Linked DNA regions of Macaca mulatta. The protein of the gene in region 2 purifies or fractionates together with the protein of the main gene of each other region. This does not show direct contact. Links are inferred from orthologs where the notes say so. Each region holds a gene or a part of one and is shown on either strand. Other genes may lie near its edges.

Region 1 (4,643 bases), on a different chromosome or scaffold from region 2:
AAATTCCTAATTCTAGCCAATGACCTGTGTGCGTTAGCCATGTCACAGGATGGCAGTTCAGGGTGGAGACTCTGGGACCAGGCTGCCTGGGATTGAAGCCCAGGCACATATGATTGTGTGATGTGGACAAGTCATTTAATATCTCTGCCCCAGCTTCCTTATTTGTAAAATGGGAGTAATACTAAGACTACCTACCTGATTCGCAGTTTAAAGGAGTTAATATATGGAGAGCTAGTTATTATTATATCATTTGTTATTACATATTAGTTTCATTTAAAGTATTTTCTGACTTTATAAAGTATTATAGAATGAGAAAAATCATTCTCAGTCTTTTACTGTGGGTTTCAGGTTGAGGCCATCAAAAATTACAAGGCCTAGATTTAATTACAATTATCTATTTGTGGTAGCTACTTAGAAAAACAAAATCAAAGTAGTTGAAGTCAATAAAACAATCCCTTGCTTTCAGCTTCAGGTTTGGGGAGCAACATGTATGCATGTAAATGTGTTGTACCCTTTGCTGGGGGGAAATTTTAATGATCTGATTGATCATGTACTTATTTTAAGTGATATTTCATTTACAGTGTTGGGTGTATTTTATTTTTATAGAAGTTATGTTCTCTGTGTTTTATGGCTCTGTTTGGTCAGTTTAATACCCGCTTTATTATTAAGTGTGTTTCTTATTCTTGTAACCACTTTATAAAATACATCAGAAATTTTCTGTGTTTTCCTAAATCATGTGATTTCTTCTCACTCAGAACTGAAGCCCTGATTCAGTTGCCCCGTCTGAAGAACAATGTTCCCTTGATGTTTCCCATCCCATTTACTGGATGGAGCTTTTTTTGTGAAAAGAGGCAACAGTAGTGTTAACTTAGAGCTGCTTCCTTGCTGTAATCAAGTGTGTTTGTTGGCAGACGAGCTCAGGAAAGGGACAAGCAGTGGCTGGAGCATGTGCAGCAGGAGGACGAGCATCAGCGACCAAGAAAACTCCACGAGGAGGAAAAACTGAAAAGGGAGGAGAGTATCAAAAAGAAGGATGGTGAGGAGAAAGGCAAACAGGAAGCACAAGACAAGCTGGGTCGGCTTTTCCATCAGCACCAAGAACCAGCTAAGCCAGCTGTCCAGGCACCCTGGTCCACTTCAGGTATTAGAAGCCAAAAATAATTCTAGAAAATAAGTCATCTTCTCTCCCAGATCCTCCTGAAAAACGCCCATATCTCATCAGGACCAGTCTTGGCTACATTAACAGATGAGAACATCAGTCTCTTATTTTGAGCATGGCAGCTCTTCTTTCCCCAGGGTCAGTTGAGATCTGTGTAATTCTCCCATCACCATGCCAGCCTCTGGCCCACGTTACACCGGCATCCACGAGTCCTCTACAGAGTTAACAAGTGGCGTGAAGTTCCACTGGTCGTATATGCTGCAAAAGAACCTGCTGTTTCTCTGGTTTGTTATTTCCCTCCCTGGAATTTCTGGGCTGTTTCTGCAACAGAAAGTGGCACCTTTCACCCTTGCCTCCACTGATGGGGTATTCGCTGTCTTCGGTCTGCATTGCATAGAGCTGCTTTTACTTTTTGAAAAGTGGCAGCGTTTTGTCCTTTGAACATAATTTGCTTTTTCTTTTCTTTACTTCTCTTTGCTTTTCTTTTTTCTTTGAGACAGTCTCACTCTGTCGCCTAGGCTAGAGTACAGTGGCACAGTCATAGTTCACTGCAGCCTCAAACTCTTGGGTTTAAGCAATCCTCCTGTCTTAGCCTCCCAAGGAGCTGGGACTATAGGTGTGCACCACCATGCCCAGCTAATTTTTTTTTTTGTAGAGATGGAGTTCTAACCTTGTTGCCCAGGTTGGTCTTGAACTCTTGGCCTCAGGCAATCCTCCCACCTTGGCCTTTCTGAGTACTGAAATTACAAGCATGAGCCACCATGCCTGGCCTAATTTGCCTTTTTTTTTTTAAAAAAAAAGGATAAATAAAAGACTGAACAAAAAGATAAATGAAAGACCGATCTAATTGGAATAGCTAGGAAAAGCTATCCTTTATAATAACAGATGTAAGCTAGAATGTATTTAAGATTCCTGTGTGGTTGTGTGATTGTACAGTTTTGCAAATAATGCTCAGCGGAAGCAAGTCGTTGCTTTTTCTTTGTGTGGAAAATTATACCAATTTTGCTTGGTCATCCGTGTGCTGCTTTAGTGCTGCGGTATACAGAAAGAAAAGAAAGAAAAAACACTTTCAAGCTATTCTGTAAAGGTTTACTGGTTCCCAGCTGCATAGTGGGCTGAGATGGGCGTGAGGTATGGAGATGCAGTAGGCACCTACCTGCCTTCAGATGCGTGCAGTCCAGGGGAAAGACTGGCAGGTCATCAGACCTACACAGTAGCAACCATGTCATAGGAGGGGCAAATCAATTTTTTGATAGTTTTTTTCTATCTGAAAATAATTTCACCATTGATCTTAGGCAGTTAGTTTAAGTTCTTCACGCGTCCTCCTAGTATAAAATGAAGATTTGTTTTTTCGCCTTCAGTCAGTAGGAAATCTTGCATGTCATACAGTTCAAAATCATGTGGAGATAATACTTTACCCTCATTGCTTTCTGGATAAGAGAGTTATATGTCAAAATACTTGTAGCTTTTGAGTAAAAATGCCCAAAGGTCTGTTATTAGTTGTTGCTAACCAGAATGCAAAATATCCTTTGCTCATGTGCATTTCTAAACATTTTGTTTCATTTAAAATCTAAATTATTTTCATCTAGGGTTCATCCTTAGGCTCATTATTTCCCAGAGAAATGTATAGGAAGAGTTTCTTCATTGGGGATTATCAGTATAACTGAAATCAGCACTTAGGTTTTATATGACCATGTTAAAGAGCCTAAAACATCTGCATTTTCATGTTTTGGTATGGAAACTGGTGCCTCTGTTCCCTCCCAAACAAGTTTGCTCCTTGGCTGATTCAGACTTTGGGTCGTATCCTAACTGCTACATTGTACTCAACACGCTGGGTAGGGAGGAGGGGGTATTGATGCTTTACAGATCTGCACTGCTAGAGCCCAAGCCAAGAGGCAGAGACAAGGGACCTTTAGGCAGCCTGGCTACACTCAGCCTTGGAATGACCTTTGTTTAGAGGGAGTCACCAATGAACTCTCTGATGGGTTTGAGTTGCTGACGTCAGATTTGGCTCTGCTTTGGCAGTCAGTATGTGTTTCAGAAATTCCTTGAATGGAGGGAAATAGTTCAGAGGTGAAGATAGGCAATAGAGGAGAGGTTAGTTGTTTGGCTTGTTGTCGTACATTTATGTTCTCTGTAATTATTTATTTTTGTCCCCCCACCTTTTTTGTAAACAGAAAAAGGTCCACTTACCATTTCTGCACAGGAAAACGTAAAAGTGGTATATTACCGGGCACTGTACCCCTTTGAATCCAGAAGCCATGATGAAATCACTATCCAGCCAGGAGACATAGTCATGGTAAGAAAGACTCCAGTGAGAGGGTCATTTCTGTTGAAGATTAGCCTCTGTCCTCTTGTTTCACTTTATTCAACAATTGTGAGATTGTCAGTGAGTATGAAACCCAATAATTCAGCATCTAGATTTTTAAAGTGTAAGCTCAGTCTTCTTTCTTTTTTATTAAAATGAAAGATGGCATTTAAAAAATGTATCCCAACATCACTTTAAAATTGAGTTGGTAAAGACAATGTGTTCTTATTTTTAAATCTATAAATGTCTGATAATTTCAGAGTTTAGATTACTACTTATATACTATGAGTAGAAATATATGAGTATAAATATATATGTAATACATATATTTTATATATGATGTATAGACTATATACTAGCATGCGTGTGTATATATATGTATAATATATGCTAGTGTGCATATGTACATATATATACACACACACTAGGATCCTCCAAAGTGGGAGGAGGCCAGGAGTCTTTAAGAAATAGTTATAAGTGCAGAACACCTATCATCATTCTCATAATTGCAATAACTTTTGTATCTTTGCATCAGAGCATCTTTTTTCCCTTTAATTATGTGAACTTTGAATTATGTAAAAAGAGTAATGAATTACACAGTTAATCTGCTTTCCTACTCTGAAACAGAAAATAATTTAAAATTTTACTTTGTTACTGTTTCTTTCCTTTAATTAATAACAATCTTATGATGTGACTGAAACTATAGGAACCAGTTTAAGAAAGAAAATCAAACAACATGGTTCATCTAAATCATTTTCTAAAAGAAAATAGTAGTTCCTTGTTCTAGTTACTCACTTTTAGAGTCTTAGAAGTCGTCAACTTTGCATTACTCTTAGCACTTTTTTTTTAAAAGATAATTTAGCTTTTTTTGTTGTTGTTGACACAACTTCTCACTCTGTTGCCCAGGCTGGAGTGCAGTGGCGTGATATTGGCTCACTGCAACCTCTGCCTCCCGGGCTCAAGCAAAGAGATTCTCCCACCTCATCCTCCCAAGTACCTGGAACCACAGGCGTACACCACCATGCCCAGCTAATTTTTGTATTTTCTGTAGAGACAGGGTTTCTCCGTGTTGCCCAGGCTGGTCTTGAATTGCCTGGGCTCGAACGATCCTCCCATGTCAGCCTCCCAAAATGCTGAAATTACAGGCATGAGCCACCATGCCTGGCCTAGAATTTG
Region 2 (4,514 bases):
GCTCAAGCAGTTTCCTTTTGCACTGAGGGTTGGGGGAGGAGGCCTGGTCTTGAGGCCTGGTGTTCCTCAGGAGGAGAGAGCTTGGGCCCTCTCCTATAGGATCCAAGCCTCATAGCTTTCTCCTCCTTTTCTGCCTCCCTTGCTACTTCATGTGGGCACCTCGTTGGCCCTGCGGCCTCCAGCATCAGGTAAGCCCTTCCCTTAGCTTCCGCCCTTGCAGCTTTGCTTTGTTTCTCCAGGCCCTGCCCTTTGGGGCTTATAGGGGAAAATGGATTACAGGTGGGGACTAGAAGGGATGGGGAATGAGGGTGGAGTGGGGATAGAGACAGGATGATTAAAGGGAGAGGGGAGTGAGGCTCTTGCTGTTTGTTTCTGCTCCCATGTAGACAAAAGAAGAGCAGTCACAGATCACCAGCCAGGTGACTGGGCAGATTGGCTGGCGGCGAGAGGGTATCAAGTATCGCCGGAATGAGCTCTTCCTGGATGTGCTGGAGAGTGTGAACCTGCTCATGTCCCCACAAGGTGAGGTCCCTCTCACAACAAAGCTGGAGGGGGACCAGGGCAGGATCCTGGGTCTGCCTGCCTGACTCTGCTGCTCCCCATTTATCTGTTCCATCATCAGGGCAGGTGCTGAGTGCCCATGTGTCGGGCCGGGTGGTGATGAAGAGCTACCTGAGTGGCATGCCTGAATGCAAGTTTGGGATGAATGACAAGATTGTTATTGAAAAGCAGGGCAAAGGCACAGCTGATGAAACAAGCAAGAGGTGCCTGAGGCAGGAGAGCTGGTGGGAAAGGGTGTCTCTTGGAGGGCTCGGTGGGGTCTAGTGAACCACAAGTTTCTTCTGGATTTCATTCCCACTGTAATTGCAAACTCTGTTCCTGACGGTAAGCCTGGCTGTTCGCTCTTGACATTGGTGCTAAGAGAGATGAGGGGACTGTCCTCAGAGCAAGCCCCTTTTTTTGGTCCCTAGGACCAAGGCCTCTTCTGTACATACTGATAGCCTCCTCTGCCCAGTGTGCCTGAAACACCCAGGTCCCAAGCAGCAGGGCCCCCAAGAGATGAGTTTACAAGGTTTCCCTCTCATCCCAAGCTCTGGGGCAGACCTCTGAGTCAGAAAGCTGCATTCTAGCAGCTTTTCATAGTCTCTGGTGCCAGCCTGGGGTGGAGTGGTCTCCCAGCGTGACACCTGTCATTCTCCTGTACCAATGAGACCTCCTCTTCTGCCCCTGCTTGCAGTGGGAAGCAATCAATTGCCATTGATGACTGCACCTTCCACCAGTGTGTACGACTCAGCAAGTTTGACTCTGAACGCAGCATCAGCTTTATCCCACCAGATGGAGAGTTTGAGCTTATGAGGTGCCATTGGGGTGTGAGGAGGCAGCCAGTGCTGCTGGCAGATTGGGGAGAGGAAGTGGGTCAGCTCTTTGGTAACCTTGCTTCCCATCCCTTAAGGTATCGCACAACCAAGGACATCATCCTTCCCTTCCGGGTGATCCCGCTAGTGCGAGAAGTGGGACGCACCAAACTGGAGGTCAAGGTGGTCATCAAGTCCAACTTTAAACCCTCACTCCTGGCTCAGAAGATTGAGGTGAGGACAGGGGGCTTGGGGAGGAGGAAGAACTTGTCCCTAGGAATAAAGGCAGCTGATGTCACAGCTTGACAGAGCTCCCTGACAGGTGTGTCACTTCTAGGTGAGGATCCCAACCCCACTGAACACAAGTGGGGTGCAGGTGATCTGCATGAAGGGGAAGGCCAAGTACAAGGCCAGCGAGAATGCCATCGTGTGGAAGTGAGTCTTTCCTTCATTAGGCCACAGCAGGTTCAAGATCCCAGTGTACCCTCTTGTTTTCACCTTTGATCCTTCTGAATGAGGGGTGGGGGAGTGTGCCTCTTTGCTTTTCTAGGAGCCTCTGCTTGTACTGTCAGCCTTTATGCCTCCATGTGAGTATGTACACGCCTGCATTTGGGTTCATGCACGTGCTTATTTTTTAAGATGCTTTGGCATTTCCCTGCTTGCCTTTGTAATGTATCTGTGAAGCTGACAAAGCAAAGATAGCATGCCCAAGTGTCTAGGCAGAAACTGCATCCTGTTGTCCTAAAGAAGTAGACCCAAGCTTCCATAGCAAGTAGTTAGCAGGGTCCTGACCACTTCTTGTGGCACCTCCTGCAAGCTCCTGGGCGTGCTCCTTAAAATGGGCAACTGCCCTTGAAACTTCTCCAAGCTACAATGGGCTGCCTGTTGTCCCTGTGTTCCTAGGATCAAGCGCATGGCAGGCATGAAGGAATCGCAGATCAGCGCAGAGATTGAGCTTCTGCCTACCAACGACAAGAAGAAATGGGCTCGACCCCCCATTTCCATGAACTTTGAGGTATGGCAGAGGAGGGGCCTAAAGTCATGCCAGGGTATGCTGGAAAAGCTCTTAGAGATCATTCCGATAAACCGCTGCACCTTAGAGGTGAGGAAACTGAGGCCTAGAAAGAACTGGCTTTAATTCATAGATCCATTCTTCCCCTTTCAAGCCTCTTAGTAGAAGTTACTATTCATAGTGAGGCAAATCTTTCACTTCTCTTAGCTTGTCCTAACACAGTTCTTTCGAAAAACTTAGATTGTTTAAATGCCAGGTAAGACACAAAGTTTACTTACAGACAGGATAATGGACTGACTTTGCTTTGTGCATGTTAGACATAATTTTCTCCACCTTATTTTTAAGTTCATAATATTGAGCAGGATAAGTATGTTCTAAAGCAGTTCATTGGTTGCTGTCTCCTGCTGATGAAAGGAACTGATTCCGGGTGTCACTGGCAGGGCTTTCTTCTTCAGCCACCTCTTAGAGGGTCCCTCACCACCCCAGCTTCTTTAAGGACCCCAGCCATTCAAACACCTGTAGTAGAGATGAAGTAGAGCAGGGCAACGGGACTTCCCAGAGGAGAGCAGCTGTAAGAGGAAGGCCACATTTCTAACGAGCTGTCCTTGCCCAGGTGCCATTTGCGCCCTCTGGCCTCAAGGTGCGCTACTTGAAGGTATTTGAACCGAAGCTGAACTACAGCGACCATGATGTCATCAAATGGGTGCGCTACATTGGCCGCAGCGGCATTTATGAAACTCGCTGCTAGCTGCCACTAGGCAGCTAGCCCACCTCCCCACCCACCCTCTTCAACAGGTCCAGGTGCCGCTCCCTCTCCCACCACACATCAGTGTCTCCTCCCTCCTGCTTTGCTGCCTTCCCTTTGCACCAGCCCCTGAGTCTAGGTCTGGGCCAAGCACATTGCAAGTGGGACTGGTGGAGTAGCCCCTGGGCTCCCTGGACAGGGAAGTTCTGAGGCTCCTGCTCTCCCCTCCACCTGTCTGTCCTGGCCTAGTGCCAGGCTCTGAGTTCTGTGACCAAAGCCAGGTGGGTTCCCTTTCCTTCCCACGCCTGTGGCCGCACCTCTGGAGTGGGAGGGTCGGTTGCACCCCTCACCTCAGAGCTCTCCCAAAGGCCAGTAACGGATCCCCAGCCCTCAGTCCCTAGTCTGCTTTGGGATAGTGTGAGCTTCATTTTGTACACGTGTGACTTCGTCCAGTTATAAACCCAATAAACTCTGTAGAGTGGAGTTGCTGGCTAAGTGTTGATGTGGGAGCTACGTGGGGAGGGAACTGGTGTTGCTCTCCCCGCAGTTTTCTGTTCTGAATACTCTAAAAGCTCTTTCCTTGTCTTGTCCCAGTTAGGCGTCTCCTGGGCCATCCAAGCCCCTATCCTTGTGGGTTTTGGGCCCAGGTTTTCTGGCTCCTCTAAGAAAGCCTCAAGGGCAAGCAGCCTCAGCAGGCCCCAGTACCCTGGGGGTAGATCTTTCCCTAGCTCTTTTTTATTCCCCCTGGTCCTCGGACTCCTAGGCTCAAGAGATCTTTAGCCTAGGATCCAGAGGCTGCCTCAGCCTCTGGAGTAGCTGGGATTACAAGCACGCGCCACCACAGCACCCAGCTCTTTCTCTAATTCTTAGGCAGATGTTTTCTAATTAGATTAGGTATAGATTAAGTGAAGTTTACGTTTGGTCTTATAGCCATCCTAAGAAATTGACCTTTTAATTCCATCATTTACCCATGCTTCCCAAATCTTGCTGAGTGGGTGGTAGGAGGAAAGATTTGCAAGCAGAATAATACAATGGACTGGGTGCGGTGGCTCACACTGTAACCCCAGCGCTTTGGTAGCCGAGGTGGGTGGATCACCTGAGGTCAGGAATTCAAGACCAGCCTGACCAACATGGAGAAACCCTGTCTGTACTAAAATTACAAAATGAGTTGGGCATGGTGGTGCATGTCTGTAATCCCAGCTGTTCGGGAGGCTGAGGCAGGAGAATGGCTTGAACCCAGGAGGTGGAGGTTGCAGTGAGCCAAGATCGCGCCATTGCATTCCAGCCTGGGCAACAAGAGTGAAACTCTGTCTCAAATAAAAAAAAAAAAATATATATATATATATATATAAATGCATCTCCATGTCTCATCACCGAACTTCAACTATGATCAATGTGTGAC
Region 3 (4,643 bases), on a different chromosome or scaffold from region 2:
TGAGAGCTAACATTCAGTAAGCACTTAGAATGTTCCAAAAATTGTTCTAAGTGCTATACATAGATTAGTTTATTTGATCCTCACAAGAAACCTATATTTTAAGTATCATTACTTCCCCTATCCTACAGATGAGAAAAATGAGGCATGGAGAAGTGATTTTCTAAAGATCACAAAACTGGGCTGGGCACAGTGGCTCAGCCTGTAATCCCAGCACTTTGGGTGGCCAAAGCAGGTGGATCACCTGAGGTCAGGAGTTTGAGACCAGCCTGGCCAACATGGTGAAACCCCTGTCTCTACTAAAAATACAAAAATTAGCCAGGCATGGTGGTGCACAGCTGTAATGCCAGCTACTTGGGAGGCTGAGGCAAGAGAATTGCTTGAACCCAGGAGGTGGAGGTTGCCGTGAGCTGAGATCATGCCACTGCTCTCCAGACTGAGCGACAGAGTAAGACTCCATCTTAAAAATAAATAAGTAGGCCAGGCATGGTGGCTCATGCCTGTAATTGCAGCACTTTGGGAGGCCAAGGCGGGAGGATCACCTGAGGTCAGGAGTTCAAGACCAGCCTGACCAACATGGAGAAACCCCGTCTCTACTAAAAACACAAAATTAGCCAGCCGTGGTGGTACATGCCTGTAATTCCAGCTACTCAGGAGGCTGAAGCAGGAGAATCACTTGAACCTGGGAGGCAGAGGCTGCGGTGAGCTGAGATCATGCCGTCACACTCCAGCCTATGCAACAAGAGCAAAACTCCATCTCAAAAATAAAAAAATAAAAATAAATTAATTAATAAAGATCACAAAGCTGGTAAGCTGAAATTTGAACCCAACCATATTGCTCATATAGTAAGTGCTTCATAAATGTTGCTATTTATAACTTATTATCTGACACCATTTTGTTTGTAGACATGCTAACTGCCTGTCTCAGACACCAGAACACAAGCCCTTGAGAACTAAAACTTGATGCTACACCTGCCAGTTGCCTAGAACTTTACCCGGCAAACAGCAAGCACACCATATTAAAATTAAAATGCTGTTAAAAATGAATCAGCAAGGCCAGGTGTGGTGGCTCATGCCTGTAATCCCAGCACTTTGGGAGGCTGAGGTGGGCAGATCACAAGGTCAGGAGATCGAGGCCATCCTGACCAACATGGTGAAACCCTGCCTCTACTAAAAATATAAAACTTAGGTGGGTGTGGTGGCACATGCCTGTAATCTCAGCTACTCGGGAAGCTGAAGCAGGAGAATCACTTGACCCCAGGAGTCAGAGGTTGTGGTGAGCCGAGAACATGCCACTGCTCTCCAGCCTGGGTGACAGAGCAAGACTCCATCTCAAATAAATAAATAAATAAATAACCATCAGCAACCAAGGGATGGCCTAAGGTAGTAGCTCTCAGACTTTAGTCAACACACAAACATGAATAGACATAAGGCCTGGACAAAGTGGCTCACGCCTATAATCCTGGCACTTTGGGAGGCCAAGGCGGGCGGATCACCTGAGGTCGGGAGTTCAAGACCAGTCTGACTAACATGGAGAAACCCCGTCTCTACCAAAAATACAAAATTAGCTGGGTGTGGAGGCGCATGCCTGTAATCCCAGCTACTCGAGAGGCTGAGGCAGGAGAATCACCTGAACCCAGGAGGCAGAGGTTGCGGTGAGCCGAGATCATGCCATTGCACTCCAGCCTGGGCAACAAGAGCAAAAAGACTCCATCTCAAAAAAAAAAAAAAAGAATAGACATAAGAATGCAGATTCCTGCCCCTATCCCCCAGTGATGCCAAGGCAAGTGGTCCTATGACCCCACTCTGAGAAATAACGCTTAAAGAACAGTTCCCAAGCCGGGCACGGTGGCTCAAGCCTGTAATCCCAGCACTTTGGGAGGCTGAGACGGGCAGATCACAAGGTCAGGAGATCGAGACCATCCTGGCTAACACGGTGAAACCCCGTCTCTACTAAAAAATACAAAAAACTAGCCGGGCGAGGTGGCGGGCGCCTGTGGTCCCAGCTACTCCGGAGGCTGAGGCAGGAGAATGGCGTAAACCCGGGAGGCGGAGCTTGCAGTGAGCTGAGATCCGGCCACTGCACTCCAGCCTGGGCAACAGAGCCAGACTCAGTCTCAAAAAAAAAGAACAGTTCCCAGTACCAGGCGGGCTCTCTGACTGCCCCTTCTGCCACTCTCCAGGTTAGAGTATTCCCCCCAGGGCTGAAGCCTAAAGCTTGACCTCCAGATAGGGCAGCTGATGTTGGGGATGCTTAGGAATCAGCACAGCAGGAAGGCTTCCTGCCTGCAAGCTGGAGAGAGCTGTGGGCAGAAGGCAGGCTGGTAACAATCGCCCAGCCCGGGGAAGGCCAGGAGCATCAAGCTGGGCTGGGCAGGGTGGGGAGGTAGAGGCACAGGGCTGGCACCCCAGCGTGGTCAGAGGCTGACACTAGACACTCACTTCCAGAATCCCAGGGTCTCCGAAGGGCTCCTCAGCACAAGCTGCCGGGGCAAATGCTCTCAGCTTTCCACACCCGAGGTGCTCACTCCAAACGAAATTTCATTTCCCACCACTCACCTTGGCATACCTTATGCTGTACCCATCTCCCTAAATACACCAGGTGTCTAAAAGTCTTGGCCTCATTCATGTTCTCTCTGCCTGGAATGCCAACCACTCCCACTCTATCTGCCTCCTTCAAGGTCCAGATCAATGTCACCTCTTTCATGAAACCTCCCCAGATCACACTAGCTGATGGTGGGTCTAGGCCTACACATTTGGTCTCTGTGCTGTGACTCATCTCTCACACTACACGTGAGCAGAGACAGTGTCTCCATTACCCACTCACTCAGTACCCACTGAGCACACACTGGGAACCAGGAACTGACATGTTGATGATTTCACAGTAACAAACAAATCCCAGCCCCGGCCTCTCAGGGGAAGGCAGACGCCATAAAGGCCAACTAGAAGGAGCCCCTTACCAGCGTGTGCAGAATCAGCTTTGGGTGCCCGCCTTTCTTCTTTGACATGGACAGGTACTACATTACCAATCCACGTGTGTGACGGGGGGAAAACCATGGGGCCCAGCTGCCAGTGAGAAGAGGAGCACACAGGTACCGATCCAGCAGTCGCCCACTGAGCACTAACCTGAACTGGGAGCAACTGCTGGCTGGGTGAGGGATCCCCCTACAGCCAACTGCTCCCCAGGGGGAGGGATCAGGGTGGAGGTTTTGCCCCCTGGGGGAGGGGGAAGCAGGCTCAGCCCTCCTGTGCTGGCAGGCCGGGCTCGGGGATTCCCGGCTGCTCCTTCCTTCTTCTTCATGTTCTAAACAGGGAAGAGGAATGCAAATCAGCCAGTTCTGCTGCAGTCCCAGTGCTACCAGAAAACCCCACGAGGAGGGCCAAGGTGACCCCAGAGCCCTAACATCTGTCTAACCAAAAGATGGTCCTACCTAGCATGGTTATGAGCTACACTTAGTGCATCATCATTCTGAATCTATCACAAATAAGGTCCATTTTAAAACCCAGCACCCCACTTCATTCATCAGGGAAATGCAGATCAAAGCTATAATGATAAACCATTACACACTCACCAGAATGGCTAAAATGTAGATTATCAAGTATTGACTATGACATGGAGTAACCATTCATGTGCTGCTGATCGAAGTGTAAACTGGTAAAACTACTTTGAAAAATTACTTGAAAGGATCTATAAAGCTCAACATAGGAACTTAAACTTATGACTCCGCAATTCCACTCCTAGATATAAACCAACAGAAATCATACATATATGCACCAAAAGACATGAACTCAAACATCTACAACAGCACTATTTGTAATCGCCCCAAACTGGAAACTACCCAAATGTCCATCATCAGTAAAACATAAATAAATTGGATGAATTCTCACAATGGTACATGCCACAACAGTGAGAATGAACAAACTACACACAACACCATGGATGACTCTTACAAAAATTACATTGAGTAAGAGAAAGAAATCATCCCAAAACAGGATTAGGTGTATGATTCAACTTATGAAAGTTAAGAACAAATGAAACCTACAGTATGTGAAGTCAGTATAGGGTTACTCAGGGTAGTTACTGGGAGGGGCCAGGAGAGGTGTTTCCAGAGTGCTGACTATCTTTTGCATCTTGAGCGAGGTGCAAGTTTATAAATTGGGTTGTTTTGTTTTGTTTTTTTGATCCAGAGTTTTGCTTTTGTTGCCCAGGCTGGAGTACAATGGCTTGATCTTGGCTCACTACAACCTCCGCCTCCCGGGTTCAAGCAATTCTCCTGCCTCAGCCTCCCGAGTAGCTGGGATTACAGGCACGCACCACCACGCCCGGCTAATTTTGTATTTTTAGTAGAGACGGGGTTTCTCCATGTTGGTAAGGGTTGTCTTGAACTCCCGACCTCAGGTGATCCACCCGCCTCGGCCTCCCAAAGTGCTGGGATTACAAGCAGGAGCCACCACTCCTGGCCTATAAATTAGGTTTTTAAAATTTCACTAAGTTCTGCACTTATGATTTGTACACTTTTTTACATGCATATTATACTTCAAGAAAATGCTTAAAAAAAAACTGAGCACCAAGCATGAGCCAGAAACCAGCACAAGTCACACAGATGAAGATAATATGTTCCCTACTTGTAAGGAAAGCAGCAGCT

Evidence for each region.
Region 1: the proteins of AP2M1 (region 2) and ITSN1 purify together in Homo sapiens (affinity purification with mass spectrometry; 3 studies listed by BioGRID and IntAct, counting the BioPlex papers as one, with this or other methods). This does not show direct contact. The link is inferred for Macaca mulatta from reciprocal best matches to the Homo sapiens genes AP2M1 and ITSN1.
Region 3: the proteins of AP2M1 (region 2) and NECAP2 purify together in Homo sapiens (affinity purification with mass spectrometry; 4 studies listed by BioGRID and IntAct, counting the BioPlex papers as one, with this or other methods). This does not show direct contact. The link is inferred for Macaca mulatta from reciprocal best matches to the Homo sapiens genes AP2M1 and NECAP2.

Annotation. Positions count from the first base shown.
Region 1 is NC_133408.1:13,590,617-13,595,259, reverse strand, and holds part of ITSN1 (intersectin-1), read left to right. Parts: intron 1-911; coding exon 912-1,141; intron 1,142-3,336; coding exon 3,337-3,458; intron 3,459-4,643. UniProt on the Homo sapiens protein: Adapter protein that provides a link between the endocytic membrane traffic and the actin assembly machinery. Acts as a guanine nucleotide exchange factor (GEF) for CDC42, and thereby stimulates actin nucleation mediated by WASL and the ARP2/3 complex.
Region 2 is NC_133407.1:96,316,268-96,320,781, forward strand, and holds the end of AP2M1 (AP-2 complex subunit mu), read left to right. Parts: intron 1-182; coding exon of another isoform or gene 183-188; intron 189-386; coding exon 387-522; intron 523-622; coding exon 623-764; coding exon of another isoform or gene 765-773; intron 774-1,237; coding exon 1,238-1,357; intron 1,358-1,453; coding exon 1,454-1,589; intron 1,590-1,692; coding exon 1,693-1,790; intron 1,791-2,258; coding exon 2,259-2,370; intron 2,371-2,980; coding exon 2,981-3,115; 3' UTR 3,116-3,589; downstream 3,590-4,514.
Region 3 is NC_133406.1:224,572,595-224,577,237, forward strand, and holds part of NECAP2 (adaptin ear-binding coat-associated protein 2), read right to left. Parts: intron 3,302-4,643; coding exon 3,124-3,301; intron 1-3,123. UniProt on the Homo sapiens protein: Involved in endocytosis.